2 linked regions of the Drosophila melanogaster genome follow. The protein of the gene in region 1 purifies or fractionates together with the protein of each later gene. This does not show direct contact. Each region holds a gene or a part of one and is shown on either strand. Other genes may lie near its edges.

The links.
Region 2: the proteins of elg1 (region 1) and Eaf6 purify together in Drosophila melanogaster (affinity purification with mass spectrometry, with the first as the bait; one large-scale study listed by BioGRID). This does not show direct contact.

The regions. Positions count from the first base shown.
Region 1 is NT_037436.4:16,130,221-16,137,495, reverse strand, and holds elg1 (enhanced level of genomic instability 1), read right to left. Parts: upstream 5,469-7,275; 5' UTR 4,983-5,468; coding exon 4,258-4,982; intron 4,203-4,257; coding exon 1,710-4,202; intron 1,301-1,709; coding exon 1,030-1,300; 3' UTR 805-1,029; downstream 1-804. Other genes in the region: CG5157 (uncharacterized protein), read left to right, coding at 435-794; Trs20 (TRAPP subunit 20), read left to right, coding at 5,914-6,000, 6,058-6,390; SsRbeta (signal sequence receptor beta), read right to left, coding at 6,793-6,990, 7,213-7,275. UniProt on the Drosophila melanogaster protein: Has an important role in DNA replication and in maintaining genome integrity during replication stress. Promotes PCNA deubiquitination.
Region 2 is NT_037436.4:5,606,521-5,610,167, forward strand, and holds Eaf6 (Esa1-associated factor 6), read right to left. Parts: upstream 1,781-3,647; 5' UTR 1,714-1,780; coding exon 1,567-1,713; intron 1,500-1,566; coding exon 1,286-1,499; intron 1,164-1,285; coding exon 1,032-1,163; intron 946-1,031; coding exon 761-945; 3' UTR 642-760; downstream 1-641. Other genes in the region: mthl2 (methuselah-like 2), read left to right, coding at 1-146, 203-296. UniProt on the Drosophila melanogaster protein: Component of the Enok complex which has a histone H3 acetyltransferase activity. Might be involved in transcriptional activation of selected genes.

The sequences.
Region 1 (7,275 bases):
CGCCATCCATTTGCATTAATGATTTGCACAAATCCCACCCAAAAAAAGGAGATTGGTCACTGCCCACACTAGTAGCAGGTCGCCTTGAAAGACGGTGAAATTCTCACGTATTTCTTATCAACCACAATGCAGACAGATTGTGGAAATAACTGAAATAAAACAGCAAATAGTAATTGCCCGTCGAGGGGGAAATGGGGGAGAACAGGTACAAGGCAAGTACAAGCGATCTAGGCGATTGTTTGAACTATTGATAAATGTTAAACATAAGCAAGGGTCGCCCCTTGGCACGCGTCCAGTGTTTCCGAGTCCGTCCAACGGTTAACAGCTCCTAAAATTATCGAATCAAGAGCGCGACTTATTAAACGCAAATTAACAGCAGCCATTAAAAGACATTCGCGAACAGCGGAAAGCAATTAGGAAATCAAATCAGCAATATGTCACAGTTGTACGAACTCTCGGAGGTGGCCCAGCAGAACGGCAAGAATGGCAAACCCTGCTGGCTGATCATCAAGGGGAACGTGTACGATGTAACCAAGTTCCTCGGCGAGCATCCTGGCGGCAGTGAAGCACTACTCGAATATGGCGGCAAGGATGCCACCAAGGCCTTCAAGCAGGCAGGCCATTCCTCCGACGCAGAAAAGGATCTAAAGAACTACAAAATCGGAGAAATCAACTCAGCTGCACCCATTCAAGTGCAGCCAACGTCCAATGGTGCAGCAAAGCCGACGGCAAACACAATATCCGAAGATCCCGAACCCGCGAAGAATAGCTCCTCCGGTTTCTGTTGCTGCTAGTCATAGGTTTACATGTCATTTGATTGATTTATTAACATAGGATGAGGTCGTAGTTAGTTTATCATAGTTAAATTGTAAATAGTTCTAGGTTTATCTCATAATAGCTACATCTTCATGTCCACAAAGCTATCTTAAAAAAGATCAACTCTTCTTAAACGATCTGAATAAATTGCAAACAAAGCCGGCGGAGCTGCTCCACCAATTTCAAAAAAATTAAACTAAATCCAAACGATGCCTAATCTTTCGGTTCGGCCTCCATGGTTGGCTCGCTGCTGGGGGCAGCCGATTGGAACGTACTGCATGCAGTGTCAAAGTAATCCGTCGTGAAACTGGTCACGTTTACCGTGTGGTTGCGCAGATAGTGATAGAATCTACTCGACTTCCGTTCCAGTCCTGCCCGTTCCTTTTCGCTGCGGCATATGGAGCGCAGGGCGGGCTCGAAGTCCAGCGATTTGGCGGAGTCGGAACGGAGAACTCCGTTGCCCAGGTGCTGGCAAATTGAAAACCTGGAAAGATTACAGAAAGTTATAAAAAATGAAAAAATTAAAGCATAACTAAAATAAGTTTGGTATCTAATTAGTGAAAAGTCTGGGCACTAATTTAATGAATAGGTGTGTTCCTAAGATAGTTATAAGATCGGTCATTTTTATGACAAGGCTATTAGAATTCCGAACGCTAAAGATATCTTGTGACTAGTTGTTATTATGACTGCTGGATGATAACAAAACCCCGGTTTCCTTTTTCCATCGATTACTGCCATGACAGCTAATTAAGTTAGCATTATTAAGCCTTAAAATGTGTTTAAAGCAAAATAGATATAGATACAGATAGATATTGTTAATAAAGATCTTTTGATATTAAAGTGTTTATATATTGGCTTAGTTAAAGAGTAACTCATCATTTTGAAAATCTTACCTCTGAACCGGCTTATCAAATAGATTGTAGGGGCACTCCTTGGTCGCGAGTCCAGTTTGGAGAGCCTGCTCCACCAGCAGGTGACCGATTTCTTCGGACAGGTGCCACTGCAAGCGATCACTGCAGTCGGAGTCCATCAACGAAGCCACCGAAATGTTGTCATAGAAGGATGCCAATGTGGCGAGCGATGAGCTGTGCCCATCGGACTTCTGCCCAGTGGCGCTGCTCAGCCAGGCCTTCTTTGGTGAGCGGGACTTCCGCTTGGCAGCGGTTCTACTTCCACCGCCCGCTGCCTGCTGCTCCTTTAGCATCGCCGAACTAGCCATAAGATCGGGGAGATTCAAACGCAAGAGGCTGAAGTCAACGGGAAAGGGTATTCGATACTGGACATTCTGCGGGCTTGTAAAGAACTCAAAGAATCTCTGATGGATTCGACTGCCATCGACGGTGGCCAGCCGGCTATTTGAGGTTTTGGTTGGTGATTTAATCCCACCGCCAGTCCTATCGCGAGTTGAATCTCCACCACTCTGAATGTAGAACTGAAGTTCCATCAACGTCTTGCGCAGATTCTGTTGATTGTATAGATACACGGATATCAATTCGTCCAACTCGATGGGACAGTTTTCCATTAGCGATAAAACGGCCAAGAATCGGGAGATGTTCAATGCGTTCGGAGCTTGGAAATGGATTATATTCTGCTGCATTAGGCGCTGCAAGTGCGCGCAATTCGGATCCGTGGCAACCACAATGACCGGCCTCTTGGAACTGGCGGCCAATGTATAAATGGCATCCGTAAATCCAGCGTCCAAGTTATCAAACAAGATATCCGCATCCTCGATTAGGATCAGAGACTTCCGTACTTCGGAAGGAGGTTCCACTGCGGCTGCTTTTGCTTTTAATCCACTCTTTTGCAACTTTTGAAGCAACTGCTGTGAGGATCCTCCACCCGCTTTACCATCTTTCCTTATCTGATGCGACTGCGTGGCCTCTTGAAGTTCCTGTATCAGCTTCTTGCCCGTCCTCTTCATCCCTGCATTTATCTCCAAGACATTAAAGTTCATGTCGTTGGCTAAGGTAAAAACGGCATTGGTCTTCCCGCTGGATGAAGGTCCGACCAGAACCATCGTGTTGCTACTTGAGCCCATTGATGCCGAATCATTGCTCATGTCAAAGGTGTCATCCATGCCCTGCGAGTTTCGATTGCTACCTCCATTGCCACTCCAGCTGGACAGGAACTCCCTAAGCTCCTGCACTGGCGTCAGATTCACCAGAACCTGTTCGAACAGCAGCGGTTTGTACTTCTCCGTAAAGAGCAGCTCGCCATTCGGAGCGGAAGGCGGTGGTTTCGCCTCCTCTTCGTTCTGTGCCATATTCTGCTCCATTGAACGGCGAGTGCGACGTGTTACCACCAGTGATTCTCCCATTTGCTGCGTATCCTGTGCACTGTCAATGGCGCTGAAGTGGCGATACTTCTCCCTCATCTGGTTATAGCACTTAAAGGTGGGAAACCGATCGAAATCATTCTTCCAGAGCTTCACAAAGCCACGTTTATTTTCCAGCTGTGGCAAAGTTGCATAGTTGAACTTGTTCAAAGTTTTGCTGGATGTAAAATCCGCGGGCAGACAGCTGGTGATGCTACTCGCTTTGGCACGTCGTTTGTTGGCGGGTAACGCTTTCGTAACCTCGGAATATTCCTCTTCTGCCCTCAGAGCAAAGGGAATGTCCAGAGGACCGTTTTTTGAACCGAAGCTCTCGCAGCCTATATGCGCCAGTCTGGGAAACACTTCATAGCTATCTTCGTACATCTGGTCGAAGTTCTTTTGACGGATCTGCTCCTGTCGAATTTTGTCCGGAACTCCGGATTGCAGAAACGCCTGTCGAGCCTTCAAAACCGACGGATCTGGGCTGGGCTTTGGCAATTGACGGACGAATAGCGGCGCTAGTTTCTTTGGTGTGGCAGCTGGATTACTATTGTCTAGGTCAATAATCTCTACAGACTCGTCTGCCTTTTGGGGCTTCGCCTTTTGTTGCTTGCCGGGACTCGTTTCCAGATCGTAATCGTAGCGCGCTTTGCCCACACACGATCGTCTTGGTCTTGACGAGGGAGTGGATTCGGCTACAATGGGTGTCTCTTGCTGGCTCTTTCTGCGCAGTGTTCTTCGCTTGGGTGTCTCCATGGGTGGGGTTTCTATCGCAATGATCACCTTTTCAGCTAACTCCTTCGGGGATTCCACTTTGGGAAAGTAGCCCAGCAGGCTGTCACGCTTTTTCGTGGGCGACGAAAGCTTCGAGAGAAGCTCCTCTGTTCCTGGATCTTGATCTTTTGCTTTCACGACCGGGGGCTTCGATTCCACAATTTGGTTCTGTGCATCCATGGAACTGATTCGTCGAGAGCGCGGTCGACCTCTTAGACGCTTGACTGTTGGATCCGTGGGTGCCGAGGATGGAGCCGTCACCTCTTTGGCGTCAGTCTTGGTCAGCATTTTTCGCAGTCTAGGGAAATAAAATGTTGTATAGCGCTCTGAATCTAATTCTTAATCAAACTCACCTCTTTGCCCTTTGCTCCATCTGCAGCTCAATGAACTCCCCGCGAGCTTCGTCCGCTAGTCTTCTCTTGGCTCCCCCCTTGCGTTCGTTCCATTCTTGGAGGAGAAGCTTCCGTTTGGTGGTCGGCGTTGCTGCCTCACTGCCGATTTCTTGATCCGCGGGAGATTCTGCCCCACCTTCATTAACCCCCAGAGAGCGATTCCGAGCATTCATCATGAACTCAAAGACATTGGTGGTTGGCTTCGGTTTGGCTGTGCTCACCGGAGAAACACCCACGTTCTCCGGCTTTCCCGCCTTGGCGAAGTGCTTCATGATGCTCTGATTGTCGGCCACCGGAGTGCTGGACTTCAGCGGACTGGACCGCCGCCGACCGTTCTTGAGACCGTTTTCTTGGGAGGATTTCTCGCGAAGTGGCTGCGGTTTCTCTTTGGCATTCGCCTTGACCTCCTCGGTGGTGCTCTTCTGGTCCTCCATGAGTGCTGCGCGGCGCTTCTCCTCCCGCTTTCGCTTGTGCTTCTCCCGATGCTTCTGCTTCACCGAGTTCAGCACTTCCTCCATGTTCTGGAGTATCAGTTTGGATTTGGCGCTGGGCGGTGCTCTCAGAACGAACGGAGATGTGGGCTCGACGGGATCCGTGGCCGCATTTTTGGAGGGAGTTCCTGGTGGACTCGCAGTGGTCGTTGTGGGTGCAATGTGCTCACTTGTAAGACAATTTACATCGGTCATTTTTGTGGGTCTCTTTTGCTGTTTTCTTTTTGGGTTTAGGCTTAATGCATTTTGCTGAGTGTGTGCGTGTGTTTGTGTATGGTGTGGTATTCTTTTGTAAGATCTAAGTACTTAAGCAATTGATATATCTACAGATAATACGAAAGCCAAACTCAAAAGATCGCAAATGAAGATCGGGGGCAAAAGCAAAAACATGACAACAATACAATAATAATGAGATCTACCTTCGCAGCGACTTTTCGTTTTTCGTATTTGTTACACTCCCGCACACGCACACACACTGCCGCGATCGAACTGGTGTCCCGTTGATCGCGATCCTCTTTCTAACGGTACTTGGGCCTCAATATGTTATTACTTTCCGGTGTCTACTTTATGCGTTAAATATCATTTTATACAAGTTTGCTTAAGGTATAAATTGTTAGCACAATGTGCTGGGGGGAAAAAAGGCGCGAAGAAACGGTGTTGGTAAACAGTGGAGGGGTAACTATTTCCAGCACTGATCGGCCAGGCAGAAATTAATTTGTTGCACTCTCATTTATGCTTTTTAATAATTTGTTTGTAAATTTCTATTTTTACTTTGTGAAGTAATGATTTTATATTAATAATATAATTACCAAGACTAAACGGAATAATTATAAGGTTGTGTATTAGTAGAGAACAAAAACAGAATGAAATACATTTGTAGGAATCACCTAATATTTAATTATATTTTATATTATATTAATTATAATTATATTTGTTCTTTATACAATTTTATACATTGTATTTTATAGTTTTATTAAATATTCCCGCTTAAAAAATAAAATGTTGTTTCTATTTAAATTACCGCAGCTGTTGGTGGTAATTTAGATGACCTGATTCGATTTGGTATTATGGGAACTTTTCCAGATTTGGTCACACTGCCCTTTACACTGTTTTGGTTTTCGTGAAAATGTCCACATACTACTTTGTTATTGTGGGTCAAAATGATAATCCCATTTACGAGAAGGAATTCAGCACCGTGAACAAGGAACTAAGGGTATGTAGACCTGGGCAACGTCTCATAGAACTGTGTAAATACATTCTCCTTCTGCAGAAAGAGGACCACAGGCACCTCACCCAGTTTATTGCCCATGCCGCCTTGGATTTGGTGGATGAGCACAAATGGAAGACGGCCAATATGCAGCTGAAATCCATTGATAGATTCAATCAGTGGTTTGTTTCGGCCTTCATCACAGCCAGCCAAATACGATTCATCATCGTTCATGACAACAAAAACGACGAGGGAATCAAGAACTTCTTTAACGAGATGTATGACACGTATATCAAAAACTCCATGAATGCCTTCTATCGCATCAACACACCCATTAAATCTCCGATGTTTGAGAAGAAGTCGGAGATCTTTGGTCGGAAGTATTTGTTATCATAAATTTGTTAAAACCTGTAGCCATTAAGTAATTGTGTAATATAAAACTTGAAATAATTTAAAAGCATAACTTTACCCTTTCTTATACAGTTGAGAAGACCCGAAACCAATGAATAATCTAGTTTATATTTTATTTAATTTATTTAGAAAAGCAGCCTAGGCTTAACATTGATGGACTTGTTTTATTCACTTTTTACTCAATGCGCCCTCGAATCAAATCTAAAACGATTTAACGCCCGTCTCCAGACGACAGTCCCAGACTGGAGTAAATTAGATGTGTGGGTTGAATAGATGAACAACGCATGGAATCAATTTGAAACTAAAGCAACAAAATATACGGAATTTGTAATGGGTCTTTGCAAAGAAATCTCTTGGTGGTGGCGAGGAAACCGTCCGTCCTGCAGCTTAGTGCTTCTTGTTCTTTCCAGAGCGCTCATATTTGCTCTTGGACTGGTGCCACAGAGCCAGAGGAATGGCCAGGGAAGGCAGAGTCATCACGGCGAAGGCCACCCAGTCGAAGAAATGGGAGGAGAAGCGCTTGTTGTACTCGTTCAGGTTGACAATTCCACCCTCACCGGGCTCAGAGCTGACCGCCAGTTGGAGCTGCAAGAATTGTTGGGTATTAAGTTCTTTGATCGATCTTTCAACAGGTAACGGGCATTTTTAAAAGACTGTTGTGTATAAATTCACTTAGTTGAGATTATTAAATTTAAAAGTGAATGATTTTGGTTTGCTTTGGCGGTGGCTTCTGTAACACTGAGATTAGATAAGATTTTTCAGGGCGGACACTGAGATTTGATGCCCCCACATTCAGCTATAACTTACCGTCTCCGACTCCTCGACAGCCTTGTAGGACACCTCGGCGGCGGTGAAGTTGAAGTAGCCGAA
Region 2 (3,647 bases), about 11 Mb from region 1:
TTTGAGATATTCTCCTACTTGGTGCAACGCGAGAAACTGTGGGTCAATATCTTTCTGGTAGCTGACTACTTCAACTGGTCCCAAGGCGTCATTATATTTGTGCTATTCATTCTGCGGCGCAAAACTCTTGTACTATTCAAGAAACAGTAAGTCTTATAGTTCATAGTTCGGGTAACCAGTTCCCTAAAATGTCTCTTTTCAGAATATTTCCCAAACAGAGAGCCTTTAGTAGATCTGCAACTCAAAGTACGATTGAATCCATTTCTCAAACAAAAAGGCATTTTAACATGACATAGTATTTTCTTCTCTTCGAATTAATCAATTTAATAGTAAAGTATAACTTTTTTTCTCACAAAATGTATGAATATATTTCACTTCATTCTACATTCTATATAGAATTCATTTAATCACAAAATGTATGAATATTTTTCTTTATATGACGTGCATCGACTATAGAAAATCGACTATAGTGTGCCACAATATATTTTACTCATCATTTCCTAATCAAACTATTGCAAACTTAACTTTGAGCCGAGGAAAAACCCTGTATGTCTATCAAAACTATGAGTCAAAAGTATGACGCGATGCTGAAAGTAGTTGCCTTTAAATATTGAAGTGATAAATGTAGAAAGAAGACATTTGTATGGAAATAAACTAAGTTTGTAAATCTACATTCGCTTTATTTCATGTACAAATTTTAATTTAAAAACTTTGAAGGTAAATAGTGCTTTATCAGATGCGGATTACACGGTAGCAGTTATCATCGATGTCGAATCTTCTTGTTTATGTGACCGCTTTTCTTCGCTGTCGCACTGGAGTTCGTGGATAGTTTGCTCTTTGTATTCGAAGTGGGTGTGCCGAGGAGATCCTTGTTCCCTCCACTGTTCGTAGATCCAGACACCATTCCGCTCACTACGCTGCCCTCATTGCGATGCGAGGGTGAATCTGTAAATAAAAAGGTGTAATTAAACATATATACTTTTCTGGAGAAAAGCGCTAAAGTTGAATCTCAATGTGCTGTGCTGCCTTACCCTTTTCGTCTTTCGGTGTGCTCTTGATTGTCGTGGTTCCGTCGTGGGCCGTTGTGGTGTTCTGATTGATTGAGATCTGATTGTCGCTGGAGTCTTCATTTGTGATGGAATCCGATTCGCTGGCGCGCTCAGCTAAAGGCGAATAAACATACTCATGTATGGCAACTAAAGCGTATCAATTTACACCCTTCTGGGCATAAAGCCTAGATCGATTACACAAGCGAATGACACAGTATGAATTATCCCCCACTTACGATTGCATATAGCCATGGAGGTGATGCTGGACTTGGAGAACAGGCGCTCGGCCTCCTTGAACTTGCGATTCCGCTTGTCGGCCTTGGAGTTGGTGGCCTTGTTGGAGGTCAGATAGCGCTCCCAGCCTCGGATGATGTTTCCGCACAACTGCGTGTCCTCTAGGTAGGAGCCCTCGAAGGCGTAGATCTGTCGCTCCAGATTGGCCAGTTGTTCCTGTCATTTATGCAACAAAAAAATGATAAAGTGCTGCGATTTCGGGTTTGTTTATATTGTGTCTCACCGATGTTTCGGCCTTCTTCTTGATGAGGTCCGCCAACTCGGCGCGAGTGTCCATGGAGCCGCCTTTCGTATTCGAGCTCGTTTTGGCCGACTTCTTTGGCTTGTTCCCGTTCGTTTCGCTGACATTTTTACTCGTTGGCGAGCTCATATTTTCAGAAAATGCTCGAATTTCAACAAATTTATATTTTGTTTTGGACAATGTGACCGGATATTGATAAAAAGTAATTACAATTAATCGATTTACGGATATCTGTTCCGACTATCGGTTTATGTCTTTGCTGAAATATGCATGCTAGTTCTTAACCTAATTGCATAGGTGGCGTTGTCGTTTTTCTTTAACAAGCTAATTTATAAACTATTAGTTTGAATGAATAAGTCTTATATTATTTGTGTATATGTTTTATAGATTCTTTAAATGTTAGTTTCTGCACTTAAAATTCAAAGTTATTTCATAATAAATCCATTGAAAGTTTGTTAATACTGCATTTATTCACTTTTGTAAGTGAATAGGACTGCCGAAATCAAAAAATAGCCCAGGAAAAAAAAAAACTGGTCAAAGAACTCAGTTACAAAACTTGATGACCATTTATTTTTGTAAGATTTTTCTTATTAGATCCATATGTTTTTTTTCACATTTTCTTAGATTTTATTTAACAGTGCTTGCCCCTTCACCACTTTGCATTTTGAAGCCAGTGTGGCTGCCATTGACCTCTCGTCTTGTTATTTTTATTTATGCGTATACCACGGACAAAAGATTCAGTTCAGCTGTAGCGCCATCATCATCGTCTTTTTGATGGTGATCTTCTAATGATCTCCCCGTGGGTCTTGCATAGTTTGTTGACCCAAGTTCGTTTCAAAGTTTGTTGAACTGCCGAAAAAAAGTGAAGCTACCGTTCTAGCTCTCTATTTCTTTCCGAACCCTCTTTCCTCTTTTTCCGCCTTTCGCTCTCTTGCCGCCTACTCTTTCTCTTTTACTTGGCTCTATTTTGGCTACCGCTTTTTATGGGCCTTCGTCGTCGCGCCTATTTCACTTTCGTCATACGCGGCGTATGCGTGATTTTATTTCTGCAGCACATCGCCTTTCGCGCTGACTATAGGAAAGCAATATAAAGTGAGGCTGCGGATGAAGACGAACTCGATTAGAAAATGAAATCATAATGCAGCGGGCAGCAAAAGCGAAACGGCAACGACCGTTGCAAGTCGCTGACTAAAGCAAAGTCTGCCATTCCGTCGTGTTCCACTAACACAATCGACTTAGTGACTAGGTGACTAACTGGCTCAGTGGCTAAGTGACCGACTGACTGACAGACTGCAGTCTATTCAATGTATGTCAAACATTGGCGCGCGCTTATTCGCGAAACAACAAAAAGTGCAGCAAAAAAACTTTCATTTTATTTAAACAAACACACAAGGCGCGGCCTGGACTTAGACTTGGAAAAACTTATTTATATTTGGTTTTAAGCAAACATCTGCCAACTGAAAACTCTGACGTTCGATCGTCTTAAGCCACCTTCTTCTGGTTTACACTGGGAAAAATATTTAGAAGTTTATTGTGGCTGTCAATAAAGATACGTTAGTTAGTTACTTCTTAATGTATTTGTAACTTCTTCGATACATTTTTATTAATATACATATATTTTTTAACTTAGTTTTTAGTTTGTTGCTTACTGCAACTGTTTTTGGTCAGTGCTGCCATTGGATGGCAGCTTACTATAATTTTTATGATGAATTGCCTGGCCGCGTGTGAAATCTGCAGCAGTCGCAGCATTGGCCGGTGGAAAAGTGGAAAACTGCCAGAAAAGTGGAACACAGCTAAAGAAGCAGCAGTGTTGCAAGTGCAACAACTGCGGCAGCAGCAGCAACACAAACACTCTCGACTAATTAGCTGCGTTTTAGAAATTCAGGCGGCAATGAAAACAAAATCGAGTTCAATGCTTGCAACGATGACGTTGTTGTTGCACTCCGCTTAGTGTGTTTTCGACTTTTCCGAGAATTTCACATATAGCATACATAGGCCGAGCCGGCGCTTTCCCAACGCCAAGCGAGTGAAAATGAGTCTGCTTCATTTTGGGCAGATAGCGA